Elephas maximus indicus: one gene and its partners. The protein of the gene in region 1 purifies or fractionates together with the protein of each later gene. This does not show direct contact. Links are inferred from orthologs where the notes say so. Each region holds a gene or a part of one and is shown in the gene's direction. Other genes may lie near its edges. The genes, in order: DDX6, EDC4, DCP1B and LSM14B.

Evidence for each region.
Region 2: the proteins of DDX6 (region 1) and EDC4 purify together in Homo sapiens (affinity purification with mass spectrometry; 4 studies listed by BioGRID and IntAct, counting the BioPlex papers as one, with this or other methods). This does not show direct contact. The link is inferred for Elephas maximus indicus from reciprocal best matches to the Homo sapiens genes DDX6 and EDC4.
Region 3: the proteins of DDX6 (region 1) and DCP1B purify together in Homo sapiens (affinity purification with mass spectrometry; 6 studies listed by BioGRID and IntAct, counting the BioPlex papers as one, with this or other methods). This does not show direct contact. The link is inferred for Elephas maximus indicus from reciprocal best matches to the Homo sapiens genes DDX6 and DCP1B.
Region 4: the proteins of DDX6 (region 1) and LSM14B purify together in Homo sapiens (affinity purification with mass spectrometry; 4 studies listed by BioGRID and IntAct, counting the BioPlex papers as one, with this or other methods). This does not show direct contact. The link is inferred for Elephas maximus indicus from reciprocal best matches to the Homo sapiens genes DDX6 and LSM14B.

What each region holds. Positions count from the first base shown.
Region 1 is NC_064835.1:11,249,148-11,256,103, reverse strand, and holds the start of DDX6 (probable ATP-dependent RNA helicase DDX6), read left to right. Parts: upstream 1-3,947; 5' UTR 3,948-4,027; intron 4,028-4,145; exon of another isoform or gene 4,146-4,267; intron 4,268-6,956.
Region 2 is NC_064839.1:34,302,230-34,309,648, forward strand, and holds the start of EDC4 (enhancer of mRNA-decapping protein 4), read left to right. Parts: upstream 1-4,409; 5' UTR 4,410-4,590; coding exon 4,591-4,672; intron 4,673-7,264; coding exon 7,265-7,419. Other genes in the region: NUTF2 (nuclear transport factor 2), read left to right, coding at 228-299, 388-486, 2,166-2,279. UniProt on the Homo sapiens protein: In the process of mRNA degradation, seems to play a role in mRNA decapping. Component of a complex containing DCP2 and DCP1A which functions in decapping of ARE-containing mRNAs. Promotes complex formation between DCP1A and DCP2.
Region 3 is NC_064822.1:56,680,481-56,688,217, forward strand, and holds the start of DCP1B (mRNA-decapping enzyme 1B), read left to right. Parts: upstream 1-4,730; 5' UTR 4,731-4,737; coding exon 4,738-4,887; intron 4,888-7,737. UniProt on the Homo sapiens protein: May play a role in the degradation of mRNAs, both in normal mRNA turnover and in nonsense-mediated mRNA decay. May remove the 7-methyl guanine cap structure from mRNA molecules, yielding a 5'-phosphorylated mRNA fragment and 7m-GDP.
Region 4 is NC_064843.1:5,804,887-5,812,295, reverse strand, and holds the start of LSM14B (protein LSM14 homolog B), read left to right. Parts: upstream 1-4,406; 5' UTR 4,407-4,438; coding exon 4,439-4,781; intron 4,782-6,914; coding exon 6,915-7,078; intron 7,079-7,409. Other genes in the region: uncharacterized protein LOC126067817, read left to right, coding at 3,081-3,191, 3,864-4,376. UniProt on the Homo sapiens protein: mRNA-binding protein essential for female fertility, oocyte meiotic maturation and the assembly of MARDO (mitochondria-associated ribonucleoprotein domain), a membraneless compartment that stores maternal mRNAs in oocytes.

The sequences.
Region 1 (6,956 bases):
CTTTTCAAAGTGTTAAAAAGCAAAGATGTCCCCCTGATGACTAAGGTGCACCTGACCCAAGCCATGGTATTTTCACTTGCCTCACATGCATGTGAAAGCTAGACAATGAATAAGGAAGATGAAAAAAGAATTGATGCATTTGAATTATGCTGTTGGGGAAGAATATTGAATATACCATAAACTACCAGAAGAACAAACAAATCTGTCTTGGAAGAAGTATAGCCAGAAAGTTCTTTAGGAGCAAAGATGGTGAGACTTTGTCCCATATGCTTTGGACATGTTATCAGGAAGGACCAGTCCCTGGAGAAAGATATCATGCTTGATAAATCAGAGGGTCAGCGAAAAAGAGGAAGACCATCAATGACGTGAACTGAGACAGTGGCTGCAACAATAAGCTCAGACATAGCAATGATTGTGAGGATGGCACAGGACAAGTCAGTGTTTCATTCTGTTGTACATATGGTCGCTATGAATCGGAACTGACTCAGCCGCACCTAACAACAACAATCTTTATGGAAGCAGACTGCCACATCTTTGCCCTGCAGAGCAGCTAGTAGGTTTGAACTGCCGACCTTTCAATTAGCAGCTGAGCACTTTAACCTCTGCACCACCAGGGCTTCTTCATTTTATAAATACTAAAGTAAAAATATTTCCACTCCTAACTTATTGACATGGTCAGGTTCCAAAGACCAGGTCATTATGGGAAAATTAGCCTTATGCAAAAATGGATGATAACCACATCAGATCACAAAATATTTTGTGGGACACATATGTCCCTCCAGACCCAAGAGGCGGAAAATGTAGGTGAGCACTATCTGTACCATTGGACAAGAAAGGGTTACTGCCAGACGTACGTCATTAATTCACAAAATAGACGGGTAGATTTTTTACTGTTGTCGTAAATGCAATGTATCAGATAATGAGAGAGTTGTTAACTGAGGAGTAGGCGTACGTTGTATAAAGTATAATTATACGTATGCCCACCCACTGCCCTCGAATCGATTCCAACTCATAGCGACCCTATACGTATACTTACAGTCTATACAAAGTATAAATACTTTAAGAAAACAATACGGTTGCTATGAGTCGGAATCGACTCGATAGCAATGGGTTTGGGTTTATGTACGTTAGCAAATAATTTGTATTCCTAAGGTATCATTTCCTATGATTCTTGTTAATCTGACCTAGGGATAAAAAAGGTATTGAGATAGTTGGATCTAGCAACCATAAAATTGAGTCCAGAAGAAAAGATACAAGGATTCAAAATTAATTCTTTACCATCCACGCTATTTCACCAGAAGACTAGAAAGAGCTGATCTGGGGAGTCCCTGGGTGGTGCAAAGTTAAAGCGCTCAGCTACTAACCCAAAGGTTGAAGGCTTGAGTTCATCCAGAGAAGCACCTTGGAAAAAAGGCCTGGTGATCCTTTGAAAAATCAGTCATGGAAAACCCTATGGAGCACAGTTCTACCTGTCGCACGTGAGGCTGCCGTGAGTCAGAGCAGACTCAATGGCAACTGGTTTGAGGGCATGGTGGTTCAGTGGTAGAATCCACAGAATTCTCACCTTCCGTGCAGGAGACCTGGGTTCAGTTCCCAGCCAATGTATCTCATGGGCCCCCCGTCAGTGGAGGCTTGTGTGCTATGACGCTGAACGGGTTTCAGCCAAGCTTCCCAACTGAACGACTAGGAAGAAAGGCATTGCAATCCACTTCCGAAAATCAGCCAATGAAAACCCTATGGAGCACAAGGGATGACACAGGAATGGGCAGCATTTCGTTCTGTCGTGCAGAGTCGCTATGAATGGGGGCCCACTCAAGGGCAGCAGACAATAACAGTGGTACTAGGCTATTTTATAAAAACATTAAGCAGAGTCTTTAAAGCTTTTAGCCCTGGAAGGGGAGCTGCTTCATACTCCACTTTGGTTGCCTCTTCTCTTTTCCTCTTTTTGTCATGACTTCAATCAGCCCCCTTTGGAAGGTAACAGTTTATTTGTGGTTGCAAACCGCTTTCCTTTGCCTGATCCCATTTCTTGAGTGGCCTACGGAGATCCCACCAGGAAGTGACCTCCTGCCCTTCACATTCCTACTAATCCTGGGAAAGATAATGAGGCAAACAAGTTCTCCCACGTTATCATTTTAAGAAACTACTTAGCTATTCTCTTCTAGGATAGGCACAAGGTGCAAGGTTATTCCCTTACATAAGTGGGTGTTTTAAAATCTGTGTGAGAAATGACATGCTACAAATTTAGAATTTAAAAAATTGGAAGGGGAACCTTTTTCAGGAATAACCTTCTACACTTCTTCGTTTCCATTGGCTGTGTGGAAATAAAGACCAACAAATGAGAACAAACGGGCTGTTCATCCAGAGCTTGCTATATATAGCAAGGCAATCAACCATCATCTCTTGATTTGGTAGAGACTCAAAGGCAGGCAGGGGAGTAAGGAAGCTTTATAGTGAGAACAAGGTTAAGGTTCAGGTAGACTCTGAAGGTTGTTGGTTTAGGGAAGCTAGAGGCGGGCTAACTACAAGCGGGGGGCATCTTATGTGATTGGTTTGGGGAGCATATTTGGCTTTCTCTGATTGGTTCCGAGTTGGAAGCGGGCGAAAAACAGGGAAGCTGGCGGTCATTGACCGAATGCTGACCGTTCTGGGCCGATTGCTGCAGAGGTTGTGGCTTGGCTTCCTGAGCCTTGTTGCAGAGGTTGTGGGTCAGAGTTCTGTCGTATATGGTCTGGCCACTGTCCCCTTGTATATTCAGTCTCTTAGCTGGGTGAGACCCAGGTTTTTATTTTCTCTTGACCTAGTTAGCTCTCTAGCTCCAAATTTTTGTTTTACCTAAGATGAGACTGCATTCTTGTTATTTCTGTTAAGGATAAATGGAGACATCAGGGTCGTGTATAGGAAAAGTAATTCTGGGAACAAATACATTACTTGTCTTTGTAGCGAGGGTCAGGCACGAGAAAAAAGCATTCGCCGCCTTCTGGTTCCTCATTTCCTCACAGAACTACTTCCATTTAACTGACTCATCAGAAGCTTTCGCGCTTCTCTGGGAGAGCTCTGGCCTCCTCCGCTCCCTCTTCCCTGGAGGGCTGACGATTAGAGCCGACAACGCAGGATCGCTGCCCCTGTCCACGGCCCGCGCCCTCCGCGCCGTCTCCGGGACCCGGTAGCCCAGCCTCCCACTTCAAGGCTCGCTCCCCGGCCCCGCCGCCGTCCGCGCCCGGGCAGCGGCCACCTCGCGCTCTCCGGGGTCGGTCCCGGCCCCTCACCCCTCAGCAGCGCCTTCTCGGTCCCTTTCCGGCCCCCACCCCAGGCGCGCGCCGGCGCCTCCGGGACTCCCGCTCCGCGCGTTCCTGGATGGAGGCGCCCCCGGAGGGGCTCGGGCGCGGCTCCTTGGGTCCAGCAGCAGGCTCCCAGACCATGGGAGAAGTCAGGCCAGCTATCCGGTCCCGGAGCCACTGTCCGAACAGGCCGTTCTCGGAACGTGTCTTTGGTCAGGAATAAGCAGATCCTCGTCTGGTCGCAGCCCCCGATTTTCACTTTTGAGAACCCAATAAAACCCACTGCCGTCGAGTCGATTCCGACTCATAAGAGGCAAAGGGAGAGTGGACTCTTCCCACCCTTTATTACCCAGACATCTCCTCAGCTGAGGAAAAAGTACCCCTCCTTTCTCCTCAGAAAGGAAACTATTTCCCCTTCAACTTCTCTCCACCTGGACACCCGCTGGTCCCCCAGTCAGTGTGGGAGAACAGTCCTCCGTTTTTTTCTCAGGGGGGCTCCCCGGGTCGCCTTTCTCCTGCCGCGAAGCAGGAGAGGCCTTGACCCCGCCGTGGGCGCAGCGACGGCTGCCTGAGCTCTCGCCATCTTGAGTGGAGGAGGAGCCGCGGCCGCCGCCATGCGGAGAGACAGGGAAAGAGGGCGGGAGGCGGCGGCGGCGGCGGGCGGGAGAGGGAGGGGGCAGGGGAGCCGAGTTAGCTCAGCCCGGGCGGCGACTTCGGCGGCTCCGTGGGAGCGGGCAGCGGCAGAGGTAGGGCTGGACTGGCCCGGGGAGCCGGGCCGACGCGGGATGCTCAGTAGAGCGGCCCCAGGAGCGGGGCGGGGGCAGGAAGAGGCAGAAGCGAGGGGGCCGGGCGGGGGTGGGCGGAGGTTTCCGAAGAGGAAGGAGCCGCCGCCATTTTGGGAGCTTCGAGTCAACAATAAAGGACTGAGGGTGCCGAGCGGGAGTGGCCTCGGTGGTAGGACGCGGGCTCGAGCCGCGGGGAGCGGGGTGAGGTGGTGGGGTCGAGGTCTGACGGGCCACTGGGGCTGCGGAAAGCTTTGAGCCCGGCGTGGGGGGCGCTCCGAGGCTGAGGCCTAAGGCCTGGTCCGGCCCTGGGGAGGAAGGCGGGCAGCTGCCAGCAGCTGTGTGGGACGGGGGCGCCTGAGAGGAGCAGAAATAGGAATGTCGTGCGCGGTGGGGTCCAGATACAGAGCGGCCGAAGTACTCGGAGGAGATGTGCAGTGGATGATGAATATGGAACTGGAGGGAGCGGCAAGGACTAGGGGGGTGGTGGAGGTTATAGGGTACGCGGCGGCCCTATAGGGGGCGGCATGGAAATGCCGGATTTAAGGGCCCTGTTAAAAAGAGGGCCAGCAGTTGCTTGATTGGGATGGGGCTTTTAGATCCATAACAAGAGTGTGTTTGTGGAGCCCCCGAGTCGTGGAGGAAATGAGGGCCTTTCTGAGTTAGGGGTATCACTTTGAGGCCTTATGGAGGGAGTCTCTATTGTTTCCAACCTTCGGAGCTGGTTCCTGGCTCATGTTGCGCAGATACGATTGCAGGGCCCCAACCCTTTTGTGTATATGGCCAGAGGAAGCTGACTTGAAGTGTGTAAGGGACTGAGGATGCGGAGAACGTAGATCAGAAATTATTGCCTCACAAAACGGGGCTCGTATCATTGGCTTGCCTCTTTCATTTCCCTCTCATTCCCTTTTCTCTTCCACGGTCTCCTTTTCCCCTCAGAATAAAACTCACTACAACTTGCAGATCTAGCATACCGAAACTGCGCTGCGTTTGCAAACAAAAGCTCTCGTTGGAGATGACAATGATATTTTGGGTGTGAAAGTGTCAGTTGCTAACTACAACCTGAAAAGTGCTGTAGTTAACTCCACTAGCGGCTCCTCCCAACTAGTTTACGTTTCCTTCGTATTTTTGAAAACGTAGAAATACAATTTGCAACACTAAATTGGGAAGGGCCAGAGGAATATTTTCTTCTCTGCAGTGCAGATTTCAGTTCAATTAAGAGGGGAGCAGTTACCACATAGTCACATTTTGGATCTGGAGAGAACAGAGGTCCTGTTGTTTATAATGGGTAGTAGTAATATCATTTAATCTTTAGGGGTTGCCCTCTTCATCCTCTTAGTGTCTTGCAGACAAATGAGTCTCCCGGTGTGAACTCGGTGATATTGTTCATCATGATAATATAAACCTCCCAAATCAGGAAACCATTTACTACCTTGAAACTGAAATTAGGTGGCTGTTAGCCATGGTCCGCTTGAGTGGTCAGACAGATACAGGGAAACGTAGAAATATAAAGCTCTGTGTATGAGATAATTAGGATTGGCTTGTGAGCAACCTGATTGTCAATTAAAAAAGGAAGACAAAGGAGCATTTTATAATTTCAAATTTGAAAACCCATGATGTATGGCAAAAATAATAAGTCCTGATTAATAAGTTAGTGTATATTTGGTAAGAAATGTAAAGGAGTTAAAAAAAAAAACAACAGCAGGCCTTTGTTTTCTGGGCTTTGTAATTAAGTTTTTATTTACTAAGTTTTTAAATGCAGTCATGTGCCGCATAAGGTCCATTCAGGCAGTGTTGGACCACGTATCCGTCTGTGGTCCCAGAAGGTTATAATAGAGTTAAGAAATCTCGATTGGAGAACCGGACATAGGGAACAGCTTCGTGGTGGCTGTTCAGTCAATATAGGTAACACTACAGCATCCCATATGGCTTTGCTAAGTACAATCAGTCCCTGGGTTGCGGACGCCCAACCTAGGAACTTCTGCTTAACGTACTTAACGTACAACCTGTAGTTTTGAACCTACCCTGTAAAGCCTATTAAAAATTCGAGGTAGACACAATGGTTCACAATAACAAATGGGTGCTACTTTGCCTTGCGCATCAAAACAACCCATTGCCGTCAAGTTGATTCCTACTTTATCATGTTAAAGACGTTTCAGTGTATCTGGGAGTTTTTTTTAAATGTTTTTCATGCATAGAAACGTACACTATATACATACTAAGACAAGCATTCGACTAACTGACGTTAGAAATGAACCGTACCTGTTATGACTTAACATACAAATTCGACTTAGACATAGGAACAGAACTCATTTGTACTCTGGGGACTGCCTGTATATAATACGGTGTTCACACAACATCCAAATCACGTAGTATTCTATTTCACAGAACATATTGTAAACCTTAAGCAACCCATGGCTGTAATTCGATTTTGGGAACAGAAGTTGAAAGTAGTGAAATTTGACTAGTTCTTTTTTAAAACAAATAATTAGTACTCTGGGTTTCTTGGAAGGGTTTGTTAAAGTCACTACTGTGCTTAGCTGTTCACAGATTTACTCCTTTTACACAGGAAATTTTTTTGTGTATTTTTTTAAATCTATTTTTGAACAACAGGACTATTTTAAATTAGGGCATAGTTTTGGGAAAAAATGTTATATTAAAATGTAGCTAATAGTTTTTTAGTATTCAGATTTTATTAAAGTAGTTAAAGATTTTCTTGGCTGTTTTTCAAAGATGCAATTTTGACATGCAGACAGGTCTGTGTCCCGTGATTTCTTCAGTCACTATTTTAAGGGGCAAAAGCTTAAGGGAAAGAGGAACGTACATTTTTCTTTGGAAAGTTCAGTTTCTGTAGTTGAAGTTCATAAGGGCACACAGTGTTTTTTCTGAAAGT
Region 2 (7,419 bases), on another chromosome or scaffold:
TTACCTAGCAAGTGTACTTTGTTAAACAGTCTCTAACTGGGCCCATGGGCAATGGGTGTCATTAAGGAAATTGTCGATAATATAAAGTTTGGAAGCTACCCATAACCCCTCTTTACAGACAGGGAAAATGAAGTATGGATTCACTTTCCCCAGCAAGACCCTTTCAGAGCTGCGGTCACGGCCCTACTTCTTGTGCTTTGACCTGGGGTTTCTGGTGCGTTTTTCAGATTGACGCGTCATGCCTTACATGGGAAGGACAGCAGTTCCAGGGGAAAGCTGCCATTGTGGAGAAGTTGTCTGTAAGTAATGGTCAGGGCCAGGTGCAGGCAGCCACTTCCCTGCCCCTGCTACCCTCTCTGAGCCCCTTGCCTATTCTTTGTCTCGCAGAGCCTTCCGTTCCAGAAAATCCAGCACAGCATCACGGCGCAGGACCATCAGCCCACGCCAGATAGCTGCATCATCAGCATGGTTGTGGGCCAGCTCAAGGTAAAAGCACTACTGCAGTGCTACGGAGGGGTTCCTGGCAGGAAAGAGCCCTGAGCCCCCTGCCTTCCTTGTGGATGTGGCACCCGGACAAAGTGACCGTCCAGAGCTACATAATTCAATGCAATAGCCACTGGCCGCACGTGGCAACATTTAAATTGCGTTCATTAAAAATAAATTAAAAATTCTGTTCTTCAGGTGCACTAGCCATATCGCAAGTGCTCAGTAGTCACTGTGGCTAGTGGCTACCTATTAGACAATGCACAGAAAGTTCTGTTAGAGAGCACTTGTCTAGAGCCTTTCTGGAAAAGAGACAGGAAGAGCTGGAGGACTGAGGGCAAGACAGAGCCATGGTGCCATGAGGTGTGGTTGGGCCTGCAGTCCCCTAGTGGAGTTTATGCTGCCACTCTCCAGGCTGGATTCTGGGTCTTCTGCCTGCTGGGTACAGCAGAGTCCTGGAACTCCCTCCTGCTTCTCTCTGCATTGCCCTACCCTTCTCAGGACCTGTGATCCTCAAAGCCTTCCTGTGGCTCTTCAGCCCCCAGAGGCTCTCCCAGAACTCCTACCTGTTGTGCCCCAGCAGATCAAGGTCATAGTCTCAGTTTCCAAAAAGCTCCTCCTTTTTCCCAAAGCAGGACAAATTGACTGCCCCTTGGCAGGTCCCAACCCTCTGGGCCTTTGTGTTACGATGGGCTAAGAATAATAGACCCACATGCCTTCTCCCTAGGCTGTGCTGGGTGAGTGGGGAGGGGCAGCTTTCTGGGTCCCGTACAGGGGTGGAGGGGCCCCTAGGCCTCTGCAGTGGACCCAGAGGGACCTGGTTTCTATCAGTTTCTCTTGCCTGGCCAGGATGCCCTGCCCGAATTGGCCCTGGGGGTAGAGGAGGCCTCTCCAGGGAGCTCAGTGCCCACTGAACCCTGGCTGGGGTTCGTAAACAGTGGCCCCTCCCACCTGGTTTTAGGTTCTTCAACTCAGAACACCCGAAAGATTGATTTGCCTTCTTCCTGCTGATAATTCCCCAAAAAACAGGTGATGTTAGACACCAGGCTGGTTAGCTGGGCTCCTGGACTCCTACCTCAACTAGGTCTCACCCTGGTTTTCTGCAGTTTGACTTTCCTCTTTCATTATAAATGTCAATATTACATGACAAGAAACAGATTACCCAATGGTTGTTTTGTTTTTTTTCCCTGTAGAGCTATGATCACATTGTGAACTCAGTTTTTAATGTCTTCTCACATACTTTTTTCTTGGCCACAGTGTTAATGGTAGTTTCTCTGGGCTGGACTGACTGACATTCTCAGACACTTACTTTACAGGCTGTGATACTGTATGTCAATGTGGTGAGCACTCTGGGATTCTTTCAAAATTGTCATCACTTGTGCCCAGAGACGGGCTCAGAGGCAGGTGTGTTGTCTGCTGTGTTGCTGTAGCTAACTGATGAATTCATCTGCACTTGAAATGCATCACAGTGTGAGCGGCCATCTACTGGCCCCTGCTGTTGCCCAGTACAACATTTCATGTTTTTAATCAGTTCATATTCATGAGTACTCTTCAGCTACTGGAATTTGAATCCAGTACAGTAGGGCCTGATCCCAAAGTCAACATTCTTTGCCCTGTTCTATCACTGAACCCCCCTGCTATCGTTCAGTCCCCTTATTGAACCATTTTCTCTTTCTTCACAGGCCGACGAAGACCCCATCATGGGCTTTCACCAGATGTTCCTATTGAAGAACATCAATGATGCTTGGGTTTGCACCAATGACATGTTCAGGCTTGCTCTGCACAACTTTGGCTGACCTCCTCCCAGCCAGGCACTCATGCTGTTTCCTCCTCCCTCCTCTTCCCGATACTATTCACACTCTGCCAGATGCTCCAAATATCATATACAAACGAGCAGGGCCACAGTGGGAGTGGGCGCGGTGCGCTACTGCCACCGAGGTGTTGTGCATGATGTTTGGACACTAGACTAGTTGCATCTGACAGGAGAAGTTTGTGTTGTACCAGCGCATGCCTTGGAAAGACTAAGTAATGCAAAAGGTTGTCTTTTGTTTTGTTTTTTAAATCTACTGACAAGTTGCTCTAGTAACCCAAAGAAGTGAAGGAGAAAGCAGCTGCCTCACCGCCCAGATATTGATTTGTTCAGATGTTTCAATGCCTCATTATACAATAAAACCACGAAAATTTTCTTAACAGTTTAAATTGTTTTAATTAGTTTAACAGTTGGCTGAGCATCAAAAACTACTCTGCCCCATTGTCTCTCATTTCTCACCCTCCCACCTGTGCCCTAACTCCGCAATACCTGTTGTTGCAAGCAGAATACTGCTGAAGCTGTATTCTCGGCTAGCTTCTCTTGGAAGGCCTGTAGGGCACGTGTTCTCTTCCCCCCTGCCTTGCCTTGGGGAAGTGAGCTGCAGACAGGGGAGGGCTCAGGTCTGTTCTGACACCTGGTGACCTCTGCCCTGGGTAGGTTTACAACTCTAGTAGCAGGAGAGATGTCTCTGATTATGACTGCCAGCCTCTCTAGGAAGAATGTGGACCCTGAATCCCCTTGAAGCTGGAGAGAGCTTGGTAAAAACCCCATCAGGTCCGGGTCTTCTGGGCTGAGGTCTTGGTGAAGATCAAGGATGAGCAGAGATTTGTGGGATTAAAGGGGACCTGCTCTCATACCCATATCCCCAGAAGGGTCAGGATCACAGCCAGGGTGCCCTAAGCCAGCAGAGGGCAAGTCAGATTCTGTACTACTACCTGCTTTGTATATCATTGCCCAAAGGTGGGTGGCCAGAACAGCCAGCCTCCGATGACCACAGAACTAAGCCCAGTTGAGCTGGAGTATCATTTGGAGCTGTGGAAGAAGGCAATCTGAGGCTGATTTTGAGGGTTTCATACTCCTGGAGTTCTCACCCCTCAAACTTCTACAGGATATCTTCAGCCCTCCCTACTATTCCCTCCCTCACTACACATGTGCACTTTCACACTGTCTTCAAGTCCCAGGAAGTCTTAGCTGTTGGGGCCTTTTCTACTCCTCAGTTTTGAGAACAGAGGCCTTGCCCAGTGTAAATCTAGTTCCTCAGCCCTGAGACCACTGGGTGGTGTAAACCTGATGGCAAGATGGCAACTGCAGGCTAGAACCAACCTGAGGACTTGGGATGATGCCCCAGCTAGGGGGTCTTAGGATTGGCGAGGCCACCACAGCTATGCCTAACCTGTAAACAGACACCACCACCAACTCTGTGGGTGGAGGACAGACTTCCTCAGACCCCCGTAGGTCGCCTGGCTACACTGGGCACAGGGCTGGATGGTCTGCTGTTTGAGAAGACAGCAAACTCAGGAGATTTCAGAGGGACTGGTTTCTAGGCTGCTGTGTATTGGGGGGTAGGGTTGGGGAGAGGTGGATGCCTGCTGCCTCTTAAACCACCCTGTATAAAATCTGCAATATAGCTTCCATGTACCTGTGCCTGAAATGTCTGCAATAAAGAGGTGTTTGTAAATGATGGTTTCTTTCTTCCTGCCTGAGAGTGCTGGTTGGGGCAAGGTGATGCTGGGGCAGTAGAGGACAATTAACTGTGGTCATTATGGTGGGGCCATCTCCCCTGCCGTTGCTATTCCCGGGCCTTAGAACCTCGCGGGTCCCCCTCAAGCCTAGGTTTACACTGACCCATTTCCTCAAAGGAAAGTGAGTTGACCCCATACTGGGCCTATCAGGAAGTTTGCGCCCTGGGAGTGGGGATAGACCGGGCGGGACCTGAAGCGCCTATGACTTTGAGCTGCGCAGTGTGTGGAGACGCTCGGCATCAATCCTGCGGAACTCCACGGGACTCCGTGGACACCGCGGGTTACAGGCTTCGGGGAGGAACGAGGCGTGCGCCCCCAGGCCGGAACCTTTCTTCTCCGGTCCGCGCAGGTTCCGGGAGCCGAGACTCGGAGGGCCGGAAGTGGAGGCGGTTACGGGGGTTGGCGGGGCTCAGGGACGCGGAGCGGGCGGCGGTTTGCGGGCTGCGTGGACTGAGTATAGTGACCGGTGTCCCGTCGTCTGACCCTGACGCCGTGGGGCGGTGCGTGGAGGCCGGGGAAGGAACCAGCGCGGGCGCAGCGCCCGTGGCAGGGCCTATGGCCTCCTGCGCGAGCATCGATATCGAGGACGCCACGCAGCACCTGCGGGACATTCTCAAGCTGGACCGGCCCGCAGGGGGTGAGCGGGGACAACGGAGGTGGGCCCTCGGTGGGCGGGCAGAAGGGCGGTGCGGGCCCGAACCTCTCTCAAGGCCCTCAGGACCGGTTCTAGATCCTCCCGGCCAGTGGAGGCTGATCCGGGTCGGCACCGTAGACCCTTGAGCTTGTACCGCGAAGGGCGCAGACCCCGCGTGCGGCCCCTCCCCATACCGGCATCGGGCTGTGCTGCCTCGTCCTTCAGCGCCAAGGCTGAAGGTGAGGCCTTTTCCCTGAACCTGTGGGTGCCTCCGCGGGTGTTCCTGTGACTGGTCTGAAGCCCCTACCCCTTCGCCATGGTGCAAAGGCCTGATCCGGGTTCTGTATGCCAAGTCCCAGGTTTGGACCTAGGTGTTGTGCTGAGGAGCCGCTCTCCTCTTCGACTCTCCCTTCCTCTGGAATGAGAACTCCAGGCTTGCTGTTGTTCTGAAACTAATTTCCAGGAGGGAGGTGGCCGGCACTGGTTCTGTGCTCTTTCTTGGGTGAAGGCAAATCACAGAACGCACAGCTCAGATTAGATTAGGCCACAAACGTCTGCAAACCCTAATTTGTTTCCATTCGTTCAAACTTCAGTTGGGTTTGCAGCGATACCTCAGAGCTGCCCACCTCCCCTACCTGTACTCAAGGAGCCCCCAGGACACAGAAGAGTTAACAAGGTTGTAAAATAATGCTGTTATCATGGAGATAGAGAAGTGTTCTGCTACTGTTTTGGGAGGGTGGAGTTGGAGAGTTCAGGCTGCCTTTGCCTGAGAAGAGGTCTGAGAGAGGAAACGATGTTTAGATTCCATCTTGTAATATGAATAGGAGCTTGGATGTTGGGATAGGCATTCCATGAAGAGGAAATGGACACAGTCAAGGCACCAAAGTTTCCTGGTAGGTTCAGGAAAAGTCATCGTTGTTAAAGGACTGGCTGGTGGTGAGGGCGTACTGTGGCCGAAGATGAGAATTGTTTTCTCAGATCCTGTTTGTATGCCTGCTGGGAGGCCCACACTGGATGCTTCTGGGAAGAGGCACTGGTGCTCACTTTGGGTGGATTTAGTCACCTCCACTCCCTGAGCAAATTTATCTGCTGCCTGAGACCCCTGGCCCCTTGCCCCAGTCCTGGAGTATGTGCTCTTTTACTCATGAGTTTGGCTTGGACTCTCAGGCTGCCTGCAGGACTGGCTCCTCAGCTGCTGTACAGACTAAGAACAGTTTGGTAGAACCTGTCATGGCCAACTTTGTGAAGCCTGGGCCTGCTGTTTGTCCTCATGGTAGCTGACCTGGAAGGGAGAGTTGTCAGCTTACCCCTTAGCAGCTAAGGGGACTTTGCTTCAAGTGCAGTGGCCTGAAGGCTTTCCTCATAACTCCTTTGTTTGTTGATTGACACTTGACTTCCCTGTTTGCCAAGTAGCTCTTGTTTGTCCCCTTTCACTAGAGCACCATGTCAGACACTGGACTGTTTTGTGACTAGAAACTTACTGTGTTCCTGGCCGTGAGGCCCTAGTCTTTGTGCCCCCTAGGAGTTTTGGGAGTGGTGCCTGAGCCTATGAGGGTACTTACGGCCCAGCCAATGGCAAACAATTGAAATGTTGTTTTTCCTGACTCTATAACCCACCCCATAGATTCCCTCCTCTTTGTCTAGCCCCTCAGTGTCCATTCCTGCTTAATCTACCTGCCCAAGGTGACATCTTCTAAACCATTTCTGTGCGGGTCAGGCTCCCTCCTTTCTCACTTCCATATCTTATCAGTGTCTCCACTCCAACCCCTGCCACTGCTTTGGTTCCAAAAAACCAAACCCACTGCGGTCAAGTTGATTCCAACTCATAGTGATCCTATAGGACAGAGTTGAACTGTCCCATAGGGTTTCCAAGGCTGTAAATCTTTACAGAAATAGACTGCCACATCTTTCTCTTGTAGAGCTGCTGGTGGGTTTGAACTGCTGACCCCTCAGTTAGCAGCCTAATGCTTTAATCACTGTGCCACCAGGGCTCCTCCCTTGGTTCAGGCCCTGGTATCTTTCACCCAGAGTCTCAGCCATCTTGTATGCTGCCTTAGAGCCATCAATCAGCCTGCTGACCAGAGCTGTCATCGTTCAGTATAAAACTCTTCTGTAGCTCTTGTTGCCCACAGAGAAAATCTAAGCACCCCAGTATCATACCTAGAGCTTGTGCAGCCTTGTCCTCCCCCTTCCCTCCCATGTTTGTGTGTTCTGGCCACGCTGGCTGTGATGGCATCTCTTCTATGAAGTCTTTCCTGGCCCTTCCCATGCCCTCCCTCATGTGAACAGAGTCCCCTCCTCCTCCCACTCTACCCCACCCTACCCCCCTGTGCTGACCCAGGCCTGAGTGTTAACTGGCATCGGAGGGCCCTCCCCAAGGTAGAATAGCCTCATGTTCATCCTTGGTCCTGGCACACGTTGGGTTGTGGAACAAGGGATGAGCAAAGGGCCCACAGTCACTCTCCTCCCCATGGACATGCCTCTCTCAGTCAAGCATTCTGAGAACACCTCACAGTTCTGGAAGGAAGCTCTGAAGGAGGAGAGGCTAGTGGGCAGGTCTGATAACCTCATCAGGGTGGCCCTGTCTACTCCCAGGCTCCAGTGCAGAGAGCCAGCGGCCATCTAACACCTACAATGGGGATCTCAACGGGCTCCTGGTTCCAGACCCACTCAGCTCAGGTGATGGTACCTCGACAGGCAAGCCTGGTCTCCGAGCCATGCCACCCATTAACCTGCAGGAGAAGCAGGTC
Region 3 (7,737 bases), on another chromosome or scaffold:
ATTAAGTGTTCTGGAATTCCCATTCTTCGTAATGTTATCCATAATCTGTTGTAATCCACACAGTGGAATGCCTTTGCATAGTCAACAAAACACAGGTAAGCATCTTTCTGGTATTTTTTCAGCCAAGATCCATTTGACATCACCAATGATATCCCTTGTTCCATGTCATCTTCTGAATTTGGTTTGAATTTCTGGCAATTCCCTGTCAATATACTGCTGCAGCTGCATTTGAATGATCTTCTGCAAATTTTTACTTGCATATGATATCAATATTGTTCGATAATTTTTAAAATAGTTTTTATTGTGCTTTAAGTGAAAGTTTACAAATCAAGTCAGCCTCTCACACAAAAACTTACATACACCTTGCTACATACTCCCAATTACTCTCCCCTTAATGATACAGTCTGCTCTCTCCCTCCACTCTCTCTTTTCGTGTCCATTTCACCAGCTTCTAACCCCCTCTACCCTCTTATCTCCCCTCCAGGCAGGAGATGCCAACATAGTCTCAAGTGTCCACCTGATCCAAGAGGCTCACTCCTCATCAGCTTGTTCAATAATTTTTGCATTCAGTTGGGTCACCTTTATTTGGAATAAACATAAACATGGATCTCACCCCTTCAGTTGGCCAGGTAGCTGTCTTCCAAAGTTCTTGACATAGATGAATGAGCACTTCCATTACTGAATCCATTCGTTGAAACATCTCAATTGGTATTCCTCCAATTCCTGGTGCCTTGTTTTTCACCAGTGCCTTCAGTGCAGTTTGGACCTCTTCCTTCAGTACCATAGGTTCCTGGTCATATGCTACTTCCTGAAATGATTAAATATAGACCAATTCTTTTTGGTATAATGACTCTATGTATTCCTTCCATCTTGTTTTGATGCTTCCTGTGTCATTTAATATTTTTCCTGTAGAATCCTTCAATATTGAAACTTGAGGCTTGAATTTTTCTTCAGTTCTGTCAGCTTGAGAAATGCTGAGCGTGTTCTTCTCTTTTGGTTTTCTAACTTCAGGTCTTTGCACATGTCATTATAATACTTTGTCTTCTCGAGCCACCCTTAGAAATCCTCTGTTCAGCTCTTTTACTTCAACATGTCTTCATTTCCCTTGAGCTACTCAACATTCAAGAGCAAGTTTCAGAGTCTCTTCTGATATCCATTTTGGTCTTTTCTTCCTTTCCTGTCTTTTTAATGACCTCTTTCGTCTTCACATATGATGTCCTTAATTTCATTCCACAACTTGTCTGGTCTTCGGTCATTAGTGTTCAATATGTCAAATCTATTCTTAAGATAGTCTCTAAATTCAGGTGGCATATACTCAAGGTCGTACTTTGGCTCTCATGGACTTGTTCTAATTTTTTTCAGCTTCAACTTGAACTTGCATATGAGCAGTTGATGGTGTATTGCACAGTCAGACCCCGGTCTTGTTCTGACTGATGATCTCTTTCCACAGATGTAGTTGATTTGATTCCTGTGTATTCCATCAAGAGAGGTCCATGTGTATAGTCACTGTTTATGTTGTTGAAAAAAGGTATTTGCAATGAAGAAGTCATTGGTCTTGCAAAATTCTATTATGTGATCTCCGGCATCATTTCTATTACCAAGGCCATATTTTTCAACTACTGATCCTTCTTCTTAGTTTCTGACTTTTGCATTCCAATCACCAGCAATTATCAATGCATTCTGATTGCATGTTCGATCAATTTCAGACTGCAGACATTGGTAAAAATCTTCAATTTCTTTACCTTTTGCCTCAGTGGTTGGTGGGTAAATTTGAATAATAGTCGTATTAACTGGTCTTCATTGTAGATGTGTGGATTTTATCCCATCACTGACAGCATTGTTGTACTTTAGGACAGATCTTGAAATGTCCTTTTTGATGATGAATGCAACACCATTCCTCTTCAAGTAGTCATTTCCATCACAGTAGACTATATGATTGGCCAATTCAATATGGCCAATACCAGTCCATTTCAGCTCACTAATGCCTAGGATACCGATGTTTACATGTTCCATTTCATTTTTGACCATTTTCAATTTTCCTAGATTCATACATTCTACCTTCTGATTACTAATGGATATTTATGTCTTTTCCCCAACTTCAGGTGGTTTCACATATCAGTCAGATCTTTCCCCAAGCCTCCGGCATCAGTAGGACTCAGAATTCAAAATGGAGCTTAACCAAAAATTTAATAAACTTAAAATTCTGAATGTGATGATTATATTGCAATTTATTTAGGCAACTGTTTTGAGAAGCCACATGTTCCATATTCTATGATATTTCTGTATCAAATATAGTAAGAGTTAATAAGTGTGAATAAGGATCTCTGCGCAGTTGTTCTGATCTAACATTCAGTGCTGAATAAATGGTTTAGATCAGTGGTTCTCAATTTTTTAGTCTCAAGACCACTTTACAGTCTTAAAGATTATTGAGGACACCTTCCCAAAGAGCTTTGGTTTATGTTGTTGTTAGGTGCCGTGGAGTCAATTCTGACTCACAGCGGCCCTAGGTACAACAGAGTGAAACACTGCCTGGCCTTGAGCAGCCTCACAATTATTGCTATGCTTGAGCCCATCCTTGTAGCCACTGTGACAATCCATTTCTTTGAGGGTTTTCCTCTCTTTCCCTGACCCTCTACTTTACCAAGCATGATGTCTTTCTCCAGGGACTGGTCCCTCCTGATAACATGTCCAAAGTACGTGAGACAAAGTCTTGCCATCCTTGCTTCTAAGGAGCATTTTACCTGCACTTTTTCTAATACAGATTTGTCCATTCTTCTGGCAGTTCACAGTATGTGTACTCAATCTCTTTCACCAACACCTTAATTCAAAGACAGCAATTCTTTTTTTGGTTTGTTTACGTAGGTTATATTTATCTATATTACCATATTAGAAAATAAAGATAAGAACTTTAAAAATATCCTTTCATTCATTTTAAAATAACAATAATAAAGCTATTAAACGTAAATATAAAAAACCCATTTTTTTGAAAATAATAATTTTTTTAAAGAAAAAATTAATGAGAATGTGGCGTTATTTTACAGTTTGCAAATCTCTTTAATGGCTGGCTTAATAGAAGACAACTGGGTTCTTATATCTGCTTCTGCTTGTATTATTTTGCTACATGTTGTTTTGGTTGAAGTATCATATCTTATGCAAATAACACACATCTTACACGTTTTTGCCAATCGTGCAATCCCCATGTGCATTATTTCCCTAGGCGTGCTATACATGTTATACGTATGGGTGCATTGTTTTCAAAACTATGGTAGATGAAGAAACTCTGGTCTCACCCAGATATGTAGTTGGAAAAGAGATGGGTATTTTAATAGTCTTTTCAGTTAACTGTGGATATTCTTTGATAATGCATCAAAACTTGACCAACCAGTGGTTTCTCAAAAGATAGTTATAATGTGTTACCTGAAACCTGTCCATTAACTTTTCATACTCTGCTATGTTAAAATCCATTAGTCTACCTTGTCCTTTAATGGATATTTTACCTATGCATGATGACATAACATCATACATTGATACATTGGTCATTTGTAAAATATTTGTTCACAGAGTTAAGCATATCTTTCAAATGGTCACACATTTTGTTATATTAAAAATAGCCATAGTTTGTCTGTCTTTTAAGTAAAAATAGTGTTAATGGGAAAAAAAATGGCTAGTTTAGCTTGCAACTCAAAGAAGCACAGAAGTGCTTTTCCTGGAGACAATTACAGTGAAACCTGTGAGAGCTGGAAGTCCAAGAGATTATCTTGTTTTTCTGGGTCTTACAACTTTTCCTCCTTTGACAGGGTGCAGTCTTAACACTTTTCTATCGCTATTAGTGGAAAATATTTTAGTTTTTCTTCCTTGAGAGGTTCCCACCTTACACAGGTTCTGGCTTTGTCAGGTTTTACTGTATACTTTGGTATGCAGAAGTTCTTTATGCATACTTCCCATTTTTTTTTACTCAGAATATTAAGAAGAAGCATACTCAAGGGTTGCGCTTTAATAAAATTATTTTTTTTTACTCTCAAGAACAATTTAAAGTCGCATTAGCTTTTTCCTTCATCTTTTCTGCAAATGTATGGCAGTGAAGAAAACGTTGATTACTAGTACAGTCTGGTGTTCTTGTCTTGATTTTTATGTTAAGGCACCCACACTTTAACCCACGGTTGCCTTTGTAAATGTCAACACAGTGAAAAAGTCAAATAACGTCTTAGCGTTGTTTTCACCTTGCAGAACCCCTGAAAGAGTCACTCTCAGGAACCCTCCTAAGAGTTCCATAGACCACAATCTGAGAAGCACTGGAAGTTGGCGTACGCAGAAATCACAGTTCTCTTTCCCTTCTGAGTTACTCATGCTTGAGGATTATATATGATTATAGGTTTTATTACTGAAGCGCCAAGGGAAGGAAATGCCAAGGCGTCGAACACATTCAAGAGGTGAATTCTACCGCGTCTACGGCTCAAAATCTCAAGTTGGAAGAAAATCGCTTTAAGGAGAGGAAAAATAGGGATTCAGAGGGCAGGCTTTGCCTTGACGTTTCCAGTGGAACGATCTTCAGGGGGAAAGGAACGCTGTCATCGATTAGTAATGTCTTCCCTCCGCGGGCGGGAGGAATGGCTGAAGAAGGAAGGCCTCCCCAAGCTGCAGTCGGGATTTTTCGGGTTGCGAGGCAGCTCGCTCGTTCTGTGATCTATTGAGAGTGGCTTCCGAGAGCCCGGTGTTGATGTCGGGGAGGGAGGAAAGATGGCGGCGGTGGCGGCGGGCGGCTTGGTGGGGAAGGGGCTCGATATCAGCTTAGCGGCTCTGCAGCGCCACGACCCCTATATCAACCGCATCGTGGACGTGGCCAGCCAGGTGGCTCTGTACACTTTCGGCCATCGGGCCAACGAGTGGGTGCGTGCTGACGCGACGGGGCCGTGCAGACCCGGGCTGGGGGGGAACCGGGGGTTGTCAGACTCGGGGCTTGAGAACCCAGTGACGGGGAGGAGGCGCTGCGCCCGTGGGTGGCGGCGGATCGGGGACCTGAGGGCAAGTTGTGGAATTCTGGAGCCGTGGGCCCGGGGGCTTGGGGGAAGGGCTGGCCGATATGCGAAACCACCTGAAGTTGGGGAAAAGGCGGAAATATCTAGGATACCCCATGTTGGGAGACCGGACCGATCGGGTACGGGACCCTGAGAGCTGAAGGAAAGAAAGGACCTGGTGCCTTGAGACCAGAAGACTGATGAACTCCGAGAAAAATAAAGCAGAATTATGTGAAGTAAAAGTGGCTAGAGAAGGCAGGGACAGGGGACGAATAAAGAGGAAAGTTCTGTTCTGGAACATCAGTCTTAGATGGGCCGAAGTGAAATCAAACCTTGATAGAGGGGAGAAATCTGAAGTCGTAAACTCAGGTAAAAAAAAAAAAAAAAAAACACTAAAAAAAGAGCGAACGTCGGGAAATAAAAGACAGAGGGGTTGGGTCTAACACTAAAAAGGAAGCTAATGTGCTTGGAAAGATTATTAAACCACAGTCCACCGAACCAAGATGAGTGTGCTATTTGAGTCCATTTGGGAGCCGAATTATTTTTATGTTCTTCTGAAAGCAGAGCCCCAATAAATAATAATGGAACGAAATTTAATTTCCTCACAATTGGTATGGGATGGGAGCTTAAGACGCTCAAGGTGTCTTGCTGAAGAATTGCTGCATTTATTTTTGTAACCCACCCACTTGAATGTAGAGAGATGTATTTTTTTTCTCTCTTCCTCACAGTGGTTTTTGTCCCAAATAATAGCCACCCATCCATTATATAACTACCCACCAATTACTTTCAATAAATTACAAAACAGTATAGAGAACTGAGCCTGGATGAATGGATCTCAGATGAATATTTTTTATATCAGTATTCTCCAAGTCATTAACACCAAAATTTAAGGATGGAAATATCCATATTGAACAAATCTGTATTTTTTAACACCCACAAACATTGGTTTATATAGCCTACTTCTCTCAATATAGATCTTTAGGTGCCTGTAATAAAACTTATTTTGTTTTAATTTAAAAGAATTAACACAAAAATAAAAAGACAAGTCCTAAACTGGGAGAAGAAAATATATTTGCCCAAAGTTCTTAATTAAAGAAGTGTACTGAAATTGGTTAAAGAGTTTAGCTCTGCTTTATTAGTAGCTAAACCAAAAGGGAAACCATGGAGAGTTCTTTAATATTCATTGTTCTATGATAGGTAGTATATCACTTGATCAGGTGAGAGGTTATTTCTCCCTGGCTTTCAGAGGGATTTGTCTCCTGGATCTTTATATAAAAGACATTGAGTAACAGTGGACAATCTCCTCAATGGCAATTAAAAAATACAAAGATATTCTGCATATGGCTATTATCCTGCTCTATTGAAAATGCCAAAGGTATAATGTCATAATTCTGTAAAGGAATTTCTGTAGTTAAGGATCATAGTTCTGTAAGCCAATTTGATGCTAGAATAGAGTGGAGAATGCTGAGAAACTGGTACACAATAAAGAAGAGGATTCCTCTTGAATTACAGTTCTTTCCTATAAGCTTGTGACAGGATCCATGCAATAGTTACCTGTTAAAATAGTTACAGAGGCTTATTAGACACCCAGTGAAGCCCATCTACTAAAGCCTCATCAAAAGGCAGAAGTGTCACAAAGCATTATTTACAGGAGTTATGTTTTCCTTCTTCCTGACTTGTTGCCTTCAGACAGGGCATAATTCATTCAGCAAAAGGTCATTCTTTCAACAAAGTATTAATCTTCAAGGCTGTGATAGCCAGAAAAAAAGATACCTAGTTCTGCTGCAGAATAGGTGCTGGGAGCAAACAAAAATTGTCACCGCTGTCTCCATATGCCATCACTTGAGGTCTCTGGATGGAGCCTTTTGAACATAAGACTAATAAAAGTATAAAGAACATTTCTTGAGAATGAAGAAGAGAGTATTTGTAGGAAGGTAGGTAAATGTAAAAAGAGTAATTCATATTACACTGAAAATAAATGAAGACTGACTTCAGGCCTTTAGAGGAGGAGGAATTAGGAATGGAGGGTAGACCGAATGAGCTGCTTTGCAGAAGGATTAAGAAAGGTTATGTCATGAGTAGAATAGGAATTTTAGAGCTAGGCCTGCTCCTTATTGCCAGGAAAGACTCCAGAAAAAAAAAAAAAGGCATAGTGGTTAAGAGCTATGCTGCTAATCAAAAGGCTGGCAGTTTGAATCCACCAGGCACTCCTTGGAAATTATGGGGCAATTCTATTCTATACTATAGGGTCACTATGAGTCGGAATCAACTCGACGGCAATGTGTTTGGTTTTTGGTTTGGTGTGTCAGTAAAAAAATATGACACTTGTATTATTTTCACGAGAGCCCCTGGTGGTGTAGTGGTTAAGTGCTCTGCAGCTAACCAAAAGGTTTGCTGCTCAAACCTACCAGCCACCATGCAGGAAAGGATTGGTGATCTGTTCCTGCAAAGATTACAGCCTGGGAAACCCTGTAGGGCAGTTCTACTCTGTCCTGTAGAGTTGCTATGAGTGAAAATCAACTCCACGGTAACAGATTTAATTATTTCACCTCTCAGTCTTTAAAGCAGTGGTTTTCAACTGGAGTTGCCCTTGAGGGGACATATGGCAATGTCCAGAGACATTTGTGGTTGTCACGATTGGGGGGATGGATGTTACTGGCATCGAGAGGATAGAAGCCAGGGATGGTACCAAGCATCCTTCAGTGCACAGGACAGGCCCCGC
Region 4 (7,409 bases), on another chromosome or scaffold:
CAGCAAGCCCCGTGCCCGAAGGAACTCAGCTTTCTCACTCCCTGGGCCAGGAGGCCCAGTGTGCCGTCTCCTGCAGGTCTACTGGTTCTGCTACTGCCTTCATTTCTGTGCCACTACTTCTCGCCATCTTCAGAGTTAACAGCTTTCCCTCTCTGTCCTGGTTCTGCTGCCTCTGCTACCTCTGACTTCCATGTCTCCTCTCCCCTGCCCCCTCATGTCTCCTTTTAAGCTTACCGGGGTGACGAAACTGACCCATTGCCTCTTTAGGGCTCTACATACCATATTTGCATGGTTCCACCCCACGAGGGTACCATTATTAGCAAGCTATCCAATCTCCTTAGTGGACCACAAGCACCTCATTTGCAAAGTTTCACCCAGTTATTTTATTTTATTTATTTTAGATTTTTGGGTTTTTTTTATAACAATTTTTATTGAGCTTTAAGTGAACGTTTACAAATCAAGTCAGTCTGTCACATATAAGCTCATATACACCTTACTCCATGCTCCCACTTATTCTCCCTCTAATGAGTCAGCCCTTACAGTTTCTCCTTTCGTGACAATTTCACCAGTTTCTAACCCTCTCTACCCTCCTCTCTCCCCTGCAGACAGGAGATGCCAACACAGTCTCAAGTGTCCACCTGATACAAGTAGCTCACTCTTCATCAGCTTCTCTCTCCTACCCACTGTCCAGTCCCTTCCATGTCTGGTGAGTTGTCTTCGGGAATGGTTCCTGTCCTGGGCCAACAGAAGGTTTGGGCACCATGACCGCCAGGATTCCTCTAGTCTCAGTCAGACCATTAAGTCTGGTCTTTTTATGAGAATTTGGGGTCTGCATCCCACTGTTCTCCTGCTCCCTCAGGGGTTGTCTATTGTGCTCCCTGTCAGGGCAGTCATTGGTTGTGGCCGGGCACCATCTAGTTCTTCTGGTCTCAGGATGATGTAAGTCTCTGGTTCATGTGGCCCTTTCTGTCTCTTGGGCTCTTAGTTATCGTGTGACCTTGGTGTTCTTCATTCTCCTTTGATCCAGGTGGGTTGAGACCCATTGATGCATCTTAGATGGCTGCTTGCTAGCATTTAAGACCCCAGATGCCACATTTCAAAGCGGGATGCAGAATGTTTTCATAATAGAATTATTTTGCCAATTGACTTAGAAGTCCCCTTAAGCCATAGTCCCCAAACCCCTGCCCTTGCTCCTCTGACCTTTGCAACATTCAGTTTATCCCGGAAACTTCTTTGCTTTTGGTCCAGTCCAGTTGAGCTGACCTTCCGTGTATTGAGTATTGTCCTTCCCTTCACCTAAAGTAGTTCTTATCTACTAATCAGTAAATAACCCTCTCCCACTCTCCCTCCTCCCCCCCACACCCAGTTATTTGATGGGCATTACAAAGACTATGGCAAAAAAAAAAAAAAAAACTAGAAGGGCCATATTAAGTAATTCACTCTACCACAGGTCCCTAAACCACAGCATTAGCTTATTAGAACTTGCTAGAAATGCAAATCTCCAGCAGGAGTTCAAATCTGAATGAACTGGTTTGAGATCCTGCTAGAAACACAGTAAAAACCAGGGCTTTGAACCAGTTCCATCGGCCTCAAACCCTTGCTGAGAGTTTGTACCCAGCAAGTTCTCAGGCGATGCTAATGCTGCTGGTTAGGGACCAATTCTGAGAACCACTAGTAAAGCAGGGGTTCTCAAAATTTACATGTGAGAATCACCTGGGGATCTTGTTAAACCACAGGTTCTGATGCAGTGTATCTGAGATGGAAATGCAAGTTATCAGCAGGGGTTCAAACCAGAATGAACTAGTTGGAAGCCCTGGTAAAAAACTAACCAGCTGCCATCGAGTGGAGTCCATTTCATGGTGACCCCACATGTGCAGAATAAAACTGTGCTCCATAGGGTTTTGAAGGTTGTGACCTTTCGGAAGCAGATTGCCAAGCTTTTCTTCGGAGGTGCCTCTGGGTGAGTTTGAATCAACCAACCTCTCAGCAAGGAGACCAGCACTCAGCCGCTTGTGCCACCCAGAGCCTTCTAGTCCCTGAAATCAGCAGCTGTACTGGCCATTCTTTCTTGCGGACACAGTAGAGCCACAAAATGGTTCTGTGGCAATCCGCCTCACGTACCTGGAGGACCTCAGCTAGTGTGTGGGGACAACCAGGTGGGCTCCCTCCTCCAGGTGCTCACACCTGTCTCCCTGGAGACCACACTGCTCTCCTGCGTACTCACCACGGGAGCTTCATCAGTGGCTCTGGCTGCAGTGGAAACCTCCCAGCTGCCTCTTTGTCCACCACCCACCCTATCTGCCATGAGCGGGCCCCTGGCCGTCCACAAAGCCCTTCACAAGCATTAGCAGCTGCTAGGGTCCTCACATCCACCAACGAGATGAACAGGGCAGACGGGGAAACTGCAGCAGAGGGTCTGACCTGTCCAGGGCCTCCCAGAAGCTCTGCTCTCTGGACTAAAGCTTGCGTGCTGTTACAGGGCTTTTAGGGTGGAGGTGCCAGGTGGGGTGTGGCCCAGTCTGGAAAACAATCTGCACCAATGCCCTCCTAGATCAGGTCGAGGGCACGCTCCTGCTCCCACTTCGGGCAAGACTCCTGCATTCTTGGGCCTGGACACCACGTGTATTTTTAGGCCTTTGCCCCGCCCAGGCACTCGCACTGCCGCTTGTCTTCAGGGACCCACCCTGCTGCACTACCAGAAGCCTGGCAGCATTTGGGAGGTCTCTGGAGCTGCCTCTTGCCCTGGCCCTGAGGCCCATTACCTGGACTCCACAGGCTTGGGATGCAGTTCCTCTTTCTAAGAGGGCATCAGCTCATGTGCCCTGAGAACGCAGCCCCACCCCTAACACAAACAGGCTTGTGGCTCAAAAACCAGGAGGTATAAGGTAGAGGATAGGTGCCCTGCTCTGTGGGGTAAAGAGGTCTGTAACAGTTAGCTCTCAACCTCGGCAGAACAGTGGGATCACCAGGCCAGCTGATGTGAGGTGCCCAGGAGACCCCCGTCAGCGCCTAGTGCAGACAGGTGCACCTCAGTAAGTCGGAGGACAGGATGAGAGCCTGGATCTTCCTCCTAGGGGCAGATGAGCCGATCCCCAGCACTTCTCTTACTGGGCTGGTCTAACTGCAGCTTCACTGCTTGTGCTCCTTGTTGGTGCTGTTTCCCAGGAGGCAAGGAATTCCAGGGTGTGCAGGTAAGTCCTGGCAGACACACCTGGAAGACTTTTCCAGCTTCTTGTCTGCTTCCCCTGAGCTCTCTTCGTCAAACTACTGTTCTCTGGCTGGATGTTGCAGGGGTCTGGTTGCTCTGGGGCGGTGCTTGGCAGAGAGCCTGGCTCGGACCCCTCCAGACCTGCCCTGAACGCACCTCCTCCGCTGTAAAATGGGGTAGTCAAAATTCCGTGTCTCACATGGCAGGTGAATTGTTCTGATCACGGCTTTCAGCTCTGATCAAGTACACACGTACATGTGTACACGTGAGATAAGCACTTCATAAATAATACGTCTCCTCAGTCCCTATGTAGCGCGCTTTCTAATGTTTCCAGTTTTACTTACATACAACGCAGGTCACCACCCACTTAATTTTCAGGAGCCAGCACGGGTCAAGGAGAGATAAACAGCCGCACATGCGTATTAACTGCTTATTGTGCGAGGTGCCGCTTGAGGGGCGTAGCGAAATAAACGGGGTTGGGGACCGTACTACATTATTGCCCTCCGGGGCTCCAGCCTCCTTGCCAGCGGGGTAGGGCGCAGGGGCGAGCGGGCAGGGCCAGGACAGGTGGGGCCTGGGGCCCTGCCAGCCACCAGGCGCCGCAGGTCTGGGAGGAGATCCGGGGTTAAGGAGTGTCTCAGCGCGTTATATTTAGGGGCTGACCCGCCGGAAGTGCTGGATGCCGGTGCCACTGCGCTTTACTGTTGTCCTCCCTGAGAGACTGCACGGCCTGGGCGCGGGGCCGCGCGAGGAGCGGGCCCTCCCCCTGCTTCCCTCCGGGCCCATCGGGAGCCCCCCGGACGCCGCGCGCCGATCTCGGACCGCGGGACGTGGAACGGGGAAGCGCACCCGGTCGACGGCCGCGGGGCGCACGGCCGCCCTACCACCCTCGAACCCATGCCACGGAGAGGCTGTGCGGACCCGGATAACGCAGACGGAGAAACTGAGGCTGGCCCCACCCCGCGGTCTGCACACGAACACCCCGTCCGAACACGCGCGCTGCCGCGCTGGATTCCAACCCCTTCCACGGCGCGCGCAGTCTCGTGCTCCCCGCTTTTCGCAGGGCCCGCCGGGAACAGGAGGGGCGGGGGGCGGGGGGCGGGGACGTCGCCCTACGCAGGCGCAGGGCGCGGGCCCGCCCCCGGGCTGGCGGTGCGGCCATCTTTAAAGGGAGGCCGGCGCGGCGGGCCAATGGGAGGTGCGGGGGCGGAGCGCTCCGCGGGGACCCGGATGTGGCTGCTGCGCCCCTTCTTCCCGCGCCCCTCAGAGCCCGGCGGCGCCCTTCTTGGCCCGCCTGGTCCCCGCGCAGGGCTCTTGGGCGGCAGCGAGCAGGCGGCGCGGCGGCGGGCCGAGGCGCGGAGGAGCGGGCGGCGAGGCGAGCGTGAGGCGGCGGCGGAGCAGGCCGCGGCCCGGCGCCTCGCCCCAGCCCCGCGGCCGGCTGCCGCCATGAGCGGCTCCTCGGGCACCCCGTACCTGGGCAGCAAGATCAGTCTCATTTCCAAGGCGCAGATTCGCTACGAGGGCATCCTCTACACCATCGATACGGACAACTCCACCGTGGCGCTCGCCAAAGGTACGCCCGCGGAGCCGGCCCAACCGCCCGAGCCCGGCCCCCGCCTCTGGGTGGCTCTCCCACCGGTGCGACTGCCCGGACCCGTGCCCAGACCACCTCACGTCCGCCGCCTGCCCTACCCCGGGGGACCCTCCCCTCCTCCAGAGCGTCCCCCTCGACGACCCTCATGCTCCACTCTCCCCCAGGACGCCCCCCCAGACCTCCCCTCGAGGATGCTCTCCGCCCTTCCCGCCCCCAGAGAACTCCTCCTCGCACCCTTTCTTCCGCTAGTGCGCCCCCCGCGATGCTCCTTGCGCGACGCCCTCCCCCAGGACGCAGCCCCCGACCTCCCCTCCCCCAAGGATGCTTACCCTCCTTTTCGCCCCCAGAGAACTCCCTTCTCTCCCGCAGAGCACTCTCATGACGCCTCCCGCGCTCTTCCCTCCCCCACGACGCCTCCCTTTGCGACATCCCCACACCCATGACGCCCCTCGGGCTCTGTCCTAGCCCAAACGCCCCCCCCCCCGGACAAATCCTTGCGACCTTTCCTCCCCTGGGTATGCCCCTACTTTCTCGCCACCACGACGCCCCTTTCCCCCCCAGGATTCCTCCTCCCCCACGATGCTCCCCTCCACACTTTTTTCTCCCCAAGAATGTCTGTCACCTTTACCCCCGCGACGGCCCCCCCCCCGCCCCTGTTGGAGAGTGCCCCGAGCGCACCCAAGCCACACAATAGTCTCGCCTCGGCCCTACGGCCCCACAGCAGCGTCATTGTGCGCCGGGGCGGAGTGGAGGCAGGGCGCGTCCCGCATAGACCCTGGGGGGCTGTCTGAAGTCTAGCCTGCTCCTCACCTGCCCTTGGGACGGGAGGGGACAGCTGGGCCAAGAAAGGGAACTCGGGCGGGGGAGGCGAGAGGCGGTGCAAGGGGCCAGGAGTGTCCCAGAGGCCTTCACAGGCTTAGGGACCTTCACAGGCTGAGGGGGGAGAGAACATGAATTCTCAGGCCTTTCTGGAACCCATTAAGCATCTGGGGTCTTGAGCTGGAACAAATACCACTTCTTAATGGCAGCAGCTCAGTTTTCCTATCCTCTCCCAGATGCTGAGGCTTACCCCTTGGTGACAAACTTGGGTAGGCTCGGCTAGACTTAGACTTGGGGTTCTACATCAGTCCAGGATGTTTTCTGAGCTTGCTGAGGCAGAAGGTGGTCCACACTCTACAGAAGATGGGCAGGTACTCCTGCCGTTTGGAAAACAGCCCTTGTGGACCTAGGTCTGCAGAAACCAGCCCTTTTTGTGCCAGGTCAGGGCCACTGTGGTGGGTCAGGATCTCTGCCGGGAGGTGTGCTGAGGCTGCTGCCACAGAGGGAGCCCCAGGCCTTCTGGACATAGTCATGCTTCCCGGAGTGGAGACTGCACTGCTACTGCGGGAACGGGAATGTTTCAGCGTAGAAGGCTCCTTTTTCTCCTGGTGCTGCACCTGATAGAAGCTGTCTGTTAGAGAAGCTGAGCCCCTGCCCCCCAGTACTCAGCAGGAGTTGTGCTTGTAGTCTAGGGAGGCTGCCCTCAAGCCTCGATATGCGCCTGAGTTCCTGTGAAGCAAAGATGGGACCCCTGAGCCCTGCCTATCAGGGCAGTGCCTCCGGTTCTGCAGCTTAGGAGAGAGTGACCACTCAGGTTCTGGGTTCTCTCCTCCGCCAGTATTTTCACTACCGAAACAGCTGTTCAAGGCTGATGGTGGGAAGAAGGAAGGGGGATGGCACAGCTCACTGGCTTCTCTCCTGAAGAGCATTGTTCCCTGGGGAGGTTTCAGGCTAAGCCAGCTGTCAGCTGTTTAACTTAGGACTAGTTGGGAGTCCTGCACGTAGGTGCGTTTGCGTTAGGGAGCTGGCATGTCATGGAACTGTCAGCATGAGATTGTTCCTTGTGGGCTCTGTCAGGTGGCTTAATTCTGTAGGTATCGTTCGCTGAAAGTCAGAGTGCCAAGTCAGTGCTGCAGCATAAGATCCGGGTGCTGCATGTGGACGTGCTCAGGGGAAGGGGCCTGCTGGGTCCTCTTCTGTCTTCGGAAGGTGTGGAGCTGTTGTGCTAGAGAGGTGATTGGTGTGCTTGGCTATGGATGACAGTCTTATACTTGGCTCTTCTTATCTCTCAAGTGAGGTCTTTTGGTACTGAAGACCGCCCCACAGATAGGCCTGCCCCCCCGAGAGAGGAGATTTACGAGTACATCATTTTCCGTGGAAGTGACATCAAAGACATCACCGTGTGCGAACCTCCAAAAGCTCAGCACACGCTTCCTCAGGATCCTGCCATTGTACAGGTAAACGTGTCACTGAGCTGCTGTGGCATGGCTTCTGATGTGTGCTGGTGCCCAAGTGAAACTGGTTGTCATCTGTCTGGCTGGAATACTCAACCCAAGGGGTAACCTTTCAATGAAGAGGAAAGGGGATGGATTTGGTCAAGGCTGTTGACGTTCCTGTGGAAGACCTGGATCCAGGCAGCTTTCAGGAGGTGGCTGTGCTGTTAGCGGGGCCCCGGGAAAGGCGGCCTGTGTGTGTCTTTCTATATGTGTGTGTGGAGTGTGCTGTCAGCTGGGCCCCAGGGAAGGAGACTCGTGTGTGTGTTTCTCTTTGACTTTGTTGGTCTATACT